Danio rerio: one gene and its partners. The main gene of each other region encodes a partner of the protein of the gene in region 2 in a complex. Links are inferred from orthologs where the notes say so. Each region holds a gene or a part of one and is shown on either strand. Other genes may lie near its edges.

Region 1 (4,096 bases), on a different chromosome or scaffold from region 2:
ATATATAATAAAATACACAAACATCCATTTTTCTTTCATTTAAAAATAATAAAAACCACACACACACACTCAAAACTAAAAAAAAAAAAAAAAAAAAAAAAAAAAAAAGGATTAGTTAGACCTCTTGACCCCATCAAGATCTTCCGTCCCAACAGCTACACTAGCTGTAGACATCCTAAGTATGCATCGCTCAAGGATGGAGGACCTGAAGAGTGAATAATAAAATAATTAAAGGCACTAACAGATCATTTGGAATTAAGAAAAAACTATTCACAAGACAACCAGTAACAAATTATAAAAAAGAAAAAAAAGCATACCTGCGAGGCTTCTGAACAGCAGAAGGCTTTTCTCCATTTTGTGAAGCAGACAGTGGGGTTTTAGAGCAGCTGAGGGAAAAACAATGTGCAGGGTTTCTCAACACAACATTTTCAAGTTCCACCCCCCCCCAAAATAATAATTATAATAAAAATAAATAAATAAAAAGGTTCCTTAAATCAACAGAAACACATTTACCTGACAAGACTATCATACACTGAACTGCAGCCAGGAAGCAGCCAAGGCTCTGGGCTACATGGGAGAGAGAGGGTTTTACTACTGAAGTCTTGAGCAACGTCTGTTGGCCACAAGTGAAGAGGCAGACCTCTAAATCACAAAAAAATAACAAAATACAAAGTGTTTTACGATACTACATGAGGACAACAACACATGAGGACACTTTAAAGGCACAAAACAAGCTTTGAAACATACAACCGCGACTCAAAGGGGCTTTGAAGAAGGCTTTCTATGCGTGTTGTCATGATTTTGGCTAACGTACAGCCACACAACACATTGCGCTTGACAAAGCTTTTTATCAGCGACAGGTGTAACGGGGGCGGGGCTCTACAAATGAGACAGGTAAGGCCGCTAATTATTAAAAAAAATAATAATAATAATGATTTATCAAATCGATATTATTTTAATTAACGTTTTATTTAATAACGGTTTTTATTTCACTGATTTAAACATGTAGATGTAAAATTCTTGTAGTGAAATAGTATGTCTCTATTTAGACACATTGAAGAAAATTGTCCAAGTAACGAGAGGAATAATACAGTAGGCTTGTCACAAATGTAGTCATTAAACAGGTTTTTGACTAAATGTAAGCATAACTTATTTGAAGCCCAAACATATAAATAAAGTAAAAAAAAACAATTACCAAGCATGATGACACTTTTACAGTCGGCAAAATAGTAACAGCAGTTCGGCAGGGGCGCTTGTTTACGGCAGCCGCACACGCTTTACGGCATCCTCATAGCAAAATGGCGTCAGGCAGTGGGGTAAGAATTCTGTTAAGACTTGTTTATATGTTATTTTAGTCTATCCGCTTACTTTAAACGTAATTTAGGAAAGTATTTATTTTGTAGCGTCATGTGTTAGCAAATGTTGGTATCGTAAAAGGTGAATGAAGAAAAAACTGGCCGATGTTGTGACGCCAGATGGTTTTGTTTTGTTGTGAACAAGAAGAAAAACAGATATATTTCAGTTGTAAAGCGTTTCGTTACCTATATTGCCTTGTATTATCTTTTTAAAATCATAGTTAATCTATTAGTATAATCATATTATGGCTTATTTATGTTCGATCTTTTGTACAGACGTTTTTTGTGCAGTTCCAGTAGATTTGCTTAACGTTATTCAACTGTCATGGTTATGCTATTAAAATGTTTAAAATTAAGATTTATGTGGGCCTTTAAAGTTTAAATTAGACAATAATCCCTTAAAAAAGGTTTTAAATCAGCAGATATTTATACTTTCTAAGGCATTAAATGTTGCATACTCCGCAAAAGTTTATATTTTCCTCAATATTTTTATGTTTTCCTTTATAAAAATCATAAACGTCCTTAAATGAGGTTTCATTTACTCGATAAATAATTTAAAAAGTTTAATATATTGTTTGTTATTAAAGAAGAAAAATGACTTTGCTGTTTGAGTGTTTATTTCTGAGCTCATTTTAGTCTCATATCTATTAAAAATCTATTATGATTTCATAATCTTTAGACATGAGTAATGGAAAGGATAGAACACCAAGGAAGAATGTGCTTTTTACAGTGTGACAAAAAGTACCGTGAATAATACAGATTGGTATATTCAAACCTAAAAGTTTAGCCAAGTATATACAACTCATTGTTTCTGCAACTCAGTGTTTGTATGTTGTGTTCCCTTAAAATGATTCATTACATTTTCATTGCGAGGTCTTTAAAAGGTCCTTAAAATGTCTTAAATTGTACCTTCATCATTTACAATCATATTCTCGTTTCTAGTCCAAGAATGATTTTCGACGGAAATGGGACAAGGATGAATATGAACAGCTGGCCCAGAAACGAATCACAGAGGAGAGAGAGAAAAAAGATGGTAAGCTAAAACAACCCTAAAAACCCTTCAGTATATACAGTTATCAGAGACAAAAAAACTAAAGGATCACTTGTAAATTCTCAATTTCTCTGAATTCATTGGATATAAAATGTAAAATATTTGTTTTATTCTGTAAGTCTAATAATATTTCTTCCAAAAATTAAATTAGATAAATATTGTACATCAGAGCTTTTCCTTTTTTTCCAGAAAATGTCTATTTTATTTAACATTTGTAAAAAAAATATCATCAGTAGTTCACAGAATAAAACCAAAATTATGTCTCACTCAAACACATAATAACAAATGATAAATTCTGATAAACGTTCAGTGGAATTTTTTTGTATATGTAAGTTGTATCTTTATTCAGTAAATTAAATGAAGTATGGTCAAATAAACCCATATGCTGACAACAAACTGAAATAATTCTCTCATGCCTAAATATTTTACAAACGTAAATAATTCTGGCCAATATTTCCTATGTCATTCTTCTTTTTTGTTCTCCAGGCAAGCCTGTGCCCCCCATCAAGCGGGAGCTCCTCCGCCACAGAGATTATAAAGTGGATCTGGAGTCAAAACTGGGGAAAACAATCGTCATCACGAAGACCACACCACAGGCTGAGATGGGAGGGTGGGTGTAACCTGAAACTTGTATTTATGTTTTAGTATAAATATTAATAATAAAATATTAATATACTATTTTTTTTTCATTCTAAGGTATTACTGCAATGTGTGTGATTGTGTAGTAAAGGATTCCATCAATTTCTTGGATCATATCAATGGTAAAAAACGTAAGTATTATAAGGTCTTTGTTCTTTCTTATAATTTGCACAACATCTTGTAGATAAAATGTGGTTTGCATGTAGACACACTCCCTATAGAAAGCCTTCTGTGCAATATCGTAAATTGTATTCTATTTTAAAGGATATTTTTGTTGCGGAAGTCTCTTACAATAGGTTCAGATCCATCCAAAGTCAAAAAGCACTTTCATTTTCTCAAACTTTACATTATTAACTCATTTCTCAGAGTTGATTTCAAATGTTGATTCTGTATCATTGCTTCACGGTAGTTTTGTTTTTGCGGTGGAGAAAACAGTACTCAGGTTGGCTTTATGAAACTTTGTAACAAATCTACATAGGCTTGTGCAGGAAATAGGACTGGAAATACTGATGACTCATTTCATACCTTTTAATATAGATTCTTTCTATTGGGAGAAAATAACCACACTTTAAATATCCACTTTGATATTCAAAACCTGACAGACATATATGTCACAAAAAGATATACTTATATTTTGTCAAGTCCGAAATTATTCAAACCCCTGGCATATTCTGACTTAAAGATAATTTTATTCAACCAGCAAGTGGTTGCTTTTAACCGAAAGTGACACAGGCTTCTCCCATGATGTACAAGAGGCATCAGTGTGGGGAAAAAATCTGCTTTTATTTTCAGACTTGCCTATATATTATAAGAAAACAGATAAAAGTTAAAAGATAGGCACCTACCATCATCCAGATGTTCCTGAAAACTTTGTTGGAGAGCACATCAGTCAATGAAAGTAGTTATGCTATATAAATAAATGTCATACACAAAATAAACGGTAATATCTGATAAGATAAATTATGAACACTTTAATTTAATCAAATGAATCTATATGTACTTGTTTGTAGCAGCTCTGTTTATTATTATTCTTTATGTTGCTCATGTAAAT
Region 2 (3,500 bases):
AGATGATCAGTTGCTATGCGATAACAAGTGCCAGCAGGAAACTGTAGGTTACCTTCCTCAAAATGTTTTGCCACGGATGCTTTGTAGACAGAAAAAAAGGCAGGGGCGGAGGAGGAGGAGGAGGGAAAATCTCAAGTCGTGGTCTGGGTGCTAAACATCATTAGGAATATTCCGGCACATGCTCCGATTCAGCATCTCGGGTACCAGACTGCAGCACTTTCTAAGGCTGGCTGTCATTTCTAGGCGCTCATGGTGCATGTGGGTGGTGAGAAGCGTGATTGGCCACGTGCTGCGGAGAAGGAGCACGCACAGATAATGTGTTTCTGTAGCCCGCACATCTGCCAACACACAGGCAGACGTTTTGTCATTCCAGCTCTTTAGAATAGGGGGCGTGAAGATGTAAAGCTGTTACGCTATTGGCTCCTTATTGAAGAATGCTAACCACGCCCACTTTGCAATAGATTGGATTTATGCTCTTGTGTGTGTGTGAGGGAGACACGTGAATGCCAGCCTAACATTAGAGATGACGTGTAAAAGTTGGTCTGTTTTATGTTTTATTGATTATTTTTGATAGCTATTGTGTGTTTGTAAATGTTCGTAAGATAGTAATAGGTAGATTTGAGGAATTTTTTGGCATAAATTAGACTGTGGAGACGTGATGCTGTAAGAATCATCACATGCTGAAAGCGAAGTCTCTCTCTCAATTCGATTCACTTCATTTGATTGGCATGACATGAGTACATATTCAAAGTGTACATAGCAAAGTCAATATAGATAATAGGAGTAGTAATCAATATTGAATATTAATTAATAACAATAATAATTCAGAATAAAATAGAAAGGAATATATACAGTATACATATAAAACAATAACATACATACATATATATTTATATAAAACATAATATATACAATGGGCTACTAGATAAGCAGTGGGTCCTTCACCTAGACGAATTCCTGATTTAATTATCACCATGTAGTGACTGGAACTGAGGAATATTCAGGGTTATTTGGCTGTACAGTGAATCTTGTATATTTCTCTCTCTCTCTCTCTCAGTCCTGACTGCAGTAGTTCTGCGGCTGGGCGTCAGCGCTCGACTCTCATGGTGCATGTGGGTGGAATTCCATGTGCTTGAGAGAGAGAATTGTTATTTTTTTTCAATGTTTTGTTGATGCATTTTTAGAAAACATTATAAATGGATCTCCAAGAACAGATGAAAACAATGGCGGAAACTCGCTTTATTATGTAGCAGTGAACGCTACAGATTACCATCGAGTCATGTTAGTTGCAGGCAAAGTTATTATGACTGATGTCAAATATTTTAAAAGTCTGTTTGATGGAAATTAGAGGTGCCGCTGGATGGTACGGGCCCTATGACAGTATTTCGAGAGTGTCAAGAGTTTGAGGGTGTTGTGGGTGCTGGGAAAGTGTCATGGAAGAGTGGGGGTTGGGGGTTGTCGTGGACTAAAGTGGGTGGCAGGGTAATTTGTTCATGGATTAAAGTAAAGAGCTGGGCGGTTGGCATCTGGTTGGGAGGTTGGCATCCCCTAATAGTGTCTCTGGGGGCCCCTAAACGGCTCCTAACTTGACCCCTCCCCTAGTGGCACCCCTGATTGTTATGCTTCATTTTTGTTTTTGGGGTTGCAGTTTTGCTTTGGCTTCACTCTTTGAAGAAATCCATTATTAAATCTAAATATGATACTGATACAACTGAATAAAGTGGTCATACGGCGACAAATTGCTTCATTTATAACTTGTGTGTTTGCTCTGTTGTATTTTTTTCTTCATTGTTATTTGGCTTTGTTTATTGATTTGCTTTGTTGTAGTTTAGCTAGGTATGTTTTGTTTTTCACTTTTATTTTGCTTTGTTTTGAGGTTTGCTTGTATTTTCACTTCAATGTTTTTTTCGCTTTCATTACGCTTTGTGGTGGCACAATGGCTCAGTGGGAAGCACCGTCGCTTCACAGCAAGACAGTTGCTGGTTCGAACCCTGGCTGGTTCAGTTGACATTCCTGTGTGGAGTTTGCATGTTCTCCCTGTGTTCGCGTGGATTTCCTTTGGATGCTCCGGTTTCCCCCCGAGTCCAAAGACATGCGCTATAGGTGAATTAAATAAACAAAATTGGCCTGTAGTGTATGAGTGTGAATGCGAGAGTGTGTGGGTGTTTCCCAGTACTGGGTTGCGGCTGGAAGGGCATCTGCTGCGCAAAACATATGCAGGAATAGTTGGCGGTTCATTCTGGTGTGGTGACCCCTGATTAATAAAGGGACTCAACCAAAAAGAAATTAAATAAACAAATGAATTTTGCTTTGTTTTTGGATTTTATTTTAGCTTGGTATGAGGGTTTTTTTGTCTTTTATTTCACTTTGTTTTAGGTGTCTTGGCTCAACATTTATTCACCAAAGAAATCAATCATCTCTTTGATGTAGGTGTCATGTTATTTTGTTTTTTTTTTTGTTAGTTTGTTTGTTTTTTTATATTTTAATTTTGGTTTGGTTGTTGTTTTGTTCAAAGTTTTTCTTTTTTGCTTTGTTGTCAGGTGTCAGTCATTTCCCGTGACGATAACAATCGACTGATTTGTGTTTTGCTCGTGCTCTGGTTGTATTTTGTTCAGGTATGTTTTTTGACATGGTTTTAAGCATCAGCTTTGCTCAGGGTTTATGTTGTCAAGGAATTAATCATTAATTGATCACATCATAACTTGCGAGTGTGTTCTTTTGTCTCTCAACAACAGAGGAATAATAATCAATCTAATTTGTGGATTGTGAGATGAGAAAGTAAGGCTGCAGTTTGTACACAAAATTTAAAAAAAGGTCTTTAATGTTATTTTAAGGTTTTTCCTTTTGGATTTTAGGCTCTTTGCTTAAAATAATCAATTCATGGCATCATAACATGCTTCCTTTTTATGAATTGCTTCTTTGTTTCGTATGATTTTTGATTGTCGCTCCTTTTCTTGGGCTTAACATTTATTAAGCAAATAAGTTGTGTGTTGTGCTTACAAATACATTTCTAACTCCTTTATTTCAATGATCAGGATTCATGGTTTGAAGTCAGGGAAGTGCTTGAAGGAGTTTAGAGGCCACACAGCTCATGTAAACGATGTCATCTACTCGCACGACGGCCAGCATGTCATTAGCGCATCGGCGGACGGCACGGTAAAAGTATGTATTCACACTGTAGTGTCCTGCCTTTACTAGTCTTTGCCTTTCACATGTACTTTTGAGGATTTTCTTACTCATTTTTGTTTTTCGTCAGGTCTGGACCGTGAAGACAATGGATTGCACCCACACAATAAAAACCCCTGACATCCCTGAGGGTACAGACATCACAGTTAACAATGTTGTGCTGGTTCCAAAGACCCCTGAGCACTTTGTAGTGAGCAATAGGACCAACACAGTGGTTGTTACGAACATTCATGGCCAGGTGAGAAACACTAATTGACCAAAACTGGCTTAAAGGAGTCTTTTTCGGGCCTTTTCATTATTTTTGTACAGTTATC
Region 3 (4,281 bases), on a different chromosome or scaffold from region 2:
CCGCCATGACTGTCACCTTCACCGGAGGAAGTGCTCTTCTTCTGCTGCTGTTTGCAGCAAATGCCGCTGCATTTGATATACCGCCACCTACTGGAAAGTGTGGTAAAGTATAGAAGGGATACAGCTCACGCGGTTTTTGTGACGCTGTACAACAATTACTATTTTTAATATTCATACTGTAAAGGTTGGGTTCTGGGTTGGGGTAGGCGTTAGTAAAATGGATTATTGAGTAATTTAATAAATAATATAAATAATACTTGGTATAATTTTTATATACTGTGTGGGTTAGGGTATATGGAGGACGAAACCTGCAAAACAAAAAAATAAACAATTACGCAAATAAATAAATAAATAAATAAATAAATAAATAAATAAACACAAATTCCTGCATCAGTAAAACAATTAGATAAATAAAAGAATAAATAAATAAAGAAATAAATACCTGCATAAATAAAACAACAATTAAATAAATAAATGAATAAATAAATACACAAGTTACTGCATAAATAAAACAATACATAAATAAATACACAAATTAATAAACAAATCTATATATAAATACACAAGTTCCTGCATAAATAAAACAATAAATAGATAAATAAATACACAAATAAATAAATGAATAAATACACAAGTTCCTGCAAAAATAAAACAATAAATAAATAGATAAATAAATACGTAAATAAATAAATAAATACACAAGTTCCTGCATAAATGAAACAATAAATAAATATATACGCTGTAAATAAATAAATGTATATATATATATGAACAAAACCTGCAAATATATATATATAAAGTCTACTTTAAGTTTTCTTATTCCTCCAGCATTAATTATTAATCTGTCCACACTATATTTATATATTTATTTATGCAGGGATTTGTGTGTGTGTGTGTGTGTGTGTGTATATATATATATATATATATATATATATATATATATATATATATATATATATATATATATATATATATAATTCTTTTATTTATTTATTGTTTTATTCATGTAGAATTTTGTGGATTTATTATTTAATTTATTTGCATATTTATTAATTTATTTATTTATTTATTGTATTTTGAAGGTTTTGTCCTCCATAGAGATGGGGGTAGACGTTAATAAAATGCATTAATGGATAATTTAATAAATAATATGAATAATACCCTGTATAATCACTGTTTTTACATTATTGTGAGGGTTGGAGTAGGGATAGAGGTTAATACAATACAATCAATGGGTAATTTAATAAATAATATGAATAATATTCGGTATAATTAGGGTTTTTACATCACTGTGAGGGTTGGGTCCAGGATTGAAGTCGAGGTAAAAGTTAATAAAATACAATTTAGTTGAACATTTTATAAATAATGTAAATAATTCTCTTTAACCTCTGGCCGCAGCTGTATCCCTTCTAGCAACAACCGTATTCATCCAGCTCAACAAGAGGCGCTGCTGCTGCGAAAGCAGACAAAAAAGCGGAAGTGACATCAAGAGACGCACTATCAACATTGGAGTGCGTTGTGTTTTGGAGCTAGTAGTTTTATTTCATCATGCCTGAACGCGAAAGTAAGTATGATATGCAATTTATTTCTTATTTATGCGATGAGGGAGCGACAAAACAGACAGTGAATTAACGTTAGTATAATAAGCGAACATTTGCGCTGTTATGTTTTGCTAACACTCGCCTGTGTCTCCTGTGTAGATCGTTAAGGAAATGCGATGTTCATACAAAGATGATATTAGTGCACATGTAGTGAAATATGCATTATAACAATCCAAAGCAGACACTTCTCTAGTGTTTTACATTGCTGCAGAGTCCAGAAATGAAGTGACTGCTTCATAATTGACTCCAGATTTATGATTGGGGTAAAGTTGGCTTTATATTTGCACTTTCTCCTTAATAATATAATTTCAGAAGAGTAAAAGTAGTAAATTCATATTATCAGCCATTGACTATCATAGTACAACACTGTTCACTGTCAATTAATTAGTGCCAATGTTGTTTTTAAGTCATTCTTGCATGTGATTTCAGAATGAATATTGGAAAGTACCATGGTATACAATCTAGGGAGTAGGGCTGCACATTATATCGTTTCAACATTGATATCTCAATGTGCGCATCCGCAATAGTCACATCGCATAGATATGCAATGTCCAGTCTAGGCATGGGACGATAACTGCTTTCAAAGTATACCTTAGTTTGAGAAAGTCAATGTTTTAAAACCGTCAACATTTTCTGCTATACCGTTCCTAAGGTATGAGTAAGATTTTTTTATTTACATTTTTTATTTTTAGGGTCAGCAGTATCTCCAACAGAAAAGGTTTCCAAAGATGCTGTTTAAATCGTAAAGAACTCTGTGTTTTTAAAACTAATTAAGACTGCAGGAGTCAATTATTAAAGTTCGTCGAGACAAACTTTAGGCTGGGGTTGAGAAAATCTGTTGGAAATAGTTTATTTAGTTTAAACAGTTTTAAAAAGTATGAAAAGATGATAGATAGAAAGACAGTAATAGATAGATAGATAGATAGATAGATAGATAGATAGATAGATAGATAGATAGATAGATAGATAAAAGCAGTTTGAAAAAGGACAGATAATTTTGAGGTCACAAAGTTAGATCTAATGTAAATCAATGACAGTCTTTTGCAATGGAAGTCTATGGGACAGTTGTTGCTAGGGTGCAGTATGTGGTAGTTAGGGGTGTGGCTAGAAAGTTAAAAGCTCATCAGTTATTGGTAGTTTGGTAGTCTGAGTTAAATGAGCTCAGCCATTAGTCTGTAAGACAATCTGATGCAGAGTTATGAGCTCACAAAGTTTGATCCCATGTTAAGTCAATGAGAGTCTTTTGAATGGAAGTCTATGGGACAGTTTCTAGGATCCAAAAGTGGTTGCTAGGGCGTGGCCAGAAAGTTAAAAGCTCATCAGTTATTGGCAGTTAGGTAGTCTGAGTTAAATGAGCCCAGTTAGAAGTCTGTGTGACAGTCTGACGCAGAGTTATGAGGTCACAAAGTTTGGTCCAATGTTAAGTCTATGGGATTTTTCCGACGGTCCCGGGACGTTTTTCAGAAAACCGAAAGTCGGATCAGTCGGAAAAGATATAGCATATTACCGAGTCAGAATAGTTTGGAGGTCTGGTGTGAGTTTGGTGGTCATAGCTCGAAAGCTCTAGGAGGAGATAGATTTTGAATTTTAGTCTCAGAAGAAGAAGAAGAATAAAAATATTAAGTTTAAATAGGTTTTCAGTAGTCTGGCTTGTTTCCCAAGCCAGCCTAATAATTATTTAGCCTGACATGTTTACTGTTCTGAAATACTTAAAATGTTTCCCAAATTAAAATATATTGTGTACAAAGGGGGGAAAAGGTTTTGTTCTTTACCCAGTCATTTAAAAAGATTATATTTTAGAGCAGTAATCTCAGTAATCTCAAACAGTGATATTTATATGCAAGGTTATCATACCGTCAGAATCTTATGCTGGCCCATGCCTAGTCCAGTCTGTATTATAGATGACCAGGATTTAATCAAATGCACTTTATATGATTCATGCAAAAAACATTTCATTCATTAATCTCTTAATATACCTTTTTTCCTTCTGACGGTCAAAACAAAACAATATTTTTACTTGGTCTAAGAATTTAGTTGATATTTGGACTAGAAATGAGACGAAAAAAGTAAAAATATATATATTTTTTGCATTGTGATTATTGAATTTCTGTACCGGAATACACTGAGGTAAAGTTGGTTTTATATTCACACAATCAGACTTTCTCCTTAATAATAGAATTTCTAAAAAGTATTCTTTGCAAATTTTGAATAGTGAATACTAGGGATGTAACGGTATCAGAATTTCACGGTATGGTAATACCTCGGTATGAATGTCACGGTACGGTATTTATTGAATCATTTACAGGAAAAAACAAAACTAATGAAAATACTCCAAAAAAGTGCCAAAAGTGTCAATGGCATACAAATTAGTCATCTATCTGTAAGCTTTGAAACAGGAACTTCAATTTTAATAACAAAAAATTATTAAACCATGTAAAAAATAAAGTTTCAATTTAGTATTGTTGAAAACTCATCACATTCAACATTTAATCACTCACTCACTTAGATAGAGATGGGTTTTAAGGAAAATTATCATATAAATATAATCTGGTAAAAGCTGGTATCTCTGGGTATTTACAATGTCCCCTGCAACAGAAAAAAACCCTCTCATTTGGGACTGAGGTTTCTGGGACAGAGAGATATGACTTGGCCCAGGTTGACAGCAGTGGGTAACGTTGTG

Evidence for each region.
Region 1: smu1b (region 2) and zmat2 share a complex: the UniProt entries of both Homo sapiens proteins name them as parts of the spliceosome B complex. The link is inferred for Danio rerio from reciprocal best matches to the Homo sapiens genes SMU1 and ZMAT2.
Region 3: smu1b (region 2) and ik share a complex: the UniProt entries of both Homo sapiens proteins name them as parts of the spliceosome B complex. The link is inferred for Danio rerio from reciprocal best matches to the Homo sapiens genes SMU1 and IK.

What each region holds. Positions count from the first base shown.
Region 1 is NC_133196.1:32,947,826-32,951,921, forward strand, and holds the start of zmat2 (zinc finger matrin-type protein 2), read left to right. Parts: upstream 1-1,296; 5' UTR 1,297-1,298; coding exon 1,299-1,316; intron 1,317-2,297; coding exon 2,298-2,388; intron 2,389-2,892; coding exon 2,893-3,016; intron 3,017-3,102; coding exon 3,103-3,176; intron 3,177-4,096. Other genes in the region: slbp2 (stem-loop binding protein 2), read right to left, coding at 122-205, 318-386, 514-642, 748-797. UniProt on the Homo sapiens protein: Involved in pre-mRNA splicing as a component of the spliceosome.
Region 2 is NC_133176.1:48,281,857-48,285,356, reverse strand, and holds part of smu1b (WD40 repeat-containing protein SMU1), read left to right. Parts: intron 1-2,540; exon of another isoform or gene 2,541-3,035; coding exon 3,036-3,162; intron 3,163-3,256; coding exon 3,257-3,424; intron 3,425-3,500. UniProt on the Homo sapiens protein: Involved in pre-mRNA splicing as a component of the spliceosome. Regulates alternative splicing of the HSPG2 pre-mRNA. Required for normal accumulation of IK.
Region 3 is NC_133196.1:47,757,565-47,761,845, forward strand, and holds the start of ik (protein Red), read left to right. Parts: upstream 1-1,481; 5' UTR 1,482-1,548; coding exon 1,549-1,564; intron 1,565-4,281. Other genes in the region: ndufa2 (NADH dehydrogenase [ubiquinone] 1 alpha subcomplex subunit 2), read right to left, coding at 1-7. UniProt on the Homo sapiens protein: Involved in pre-mRNA splicing as a component of the spliceosome. Auxiliary spliceosomal protein that regulates selection of alternative splice sites in a small set of target pre-mRNA species. Required for normal mitotic cell cycle progression.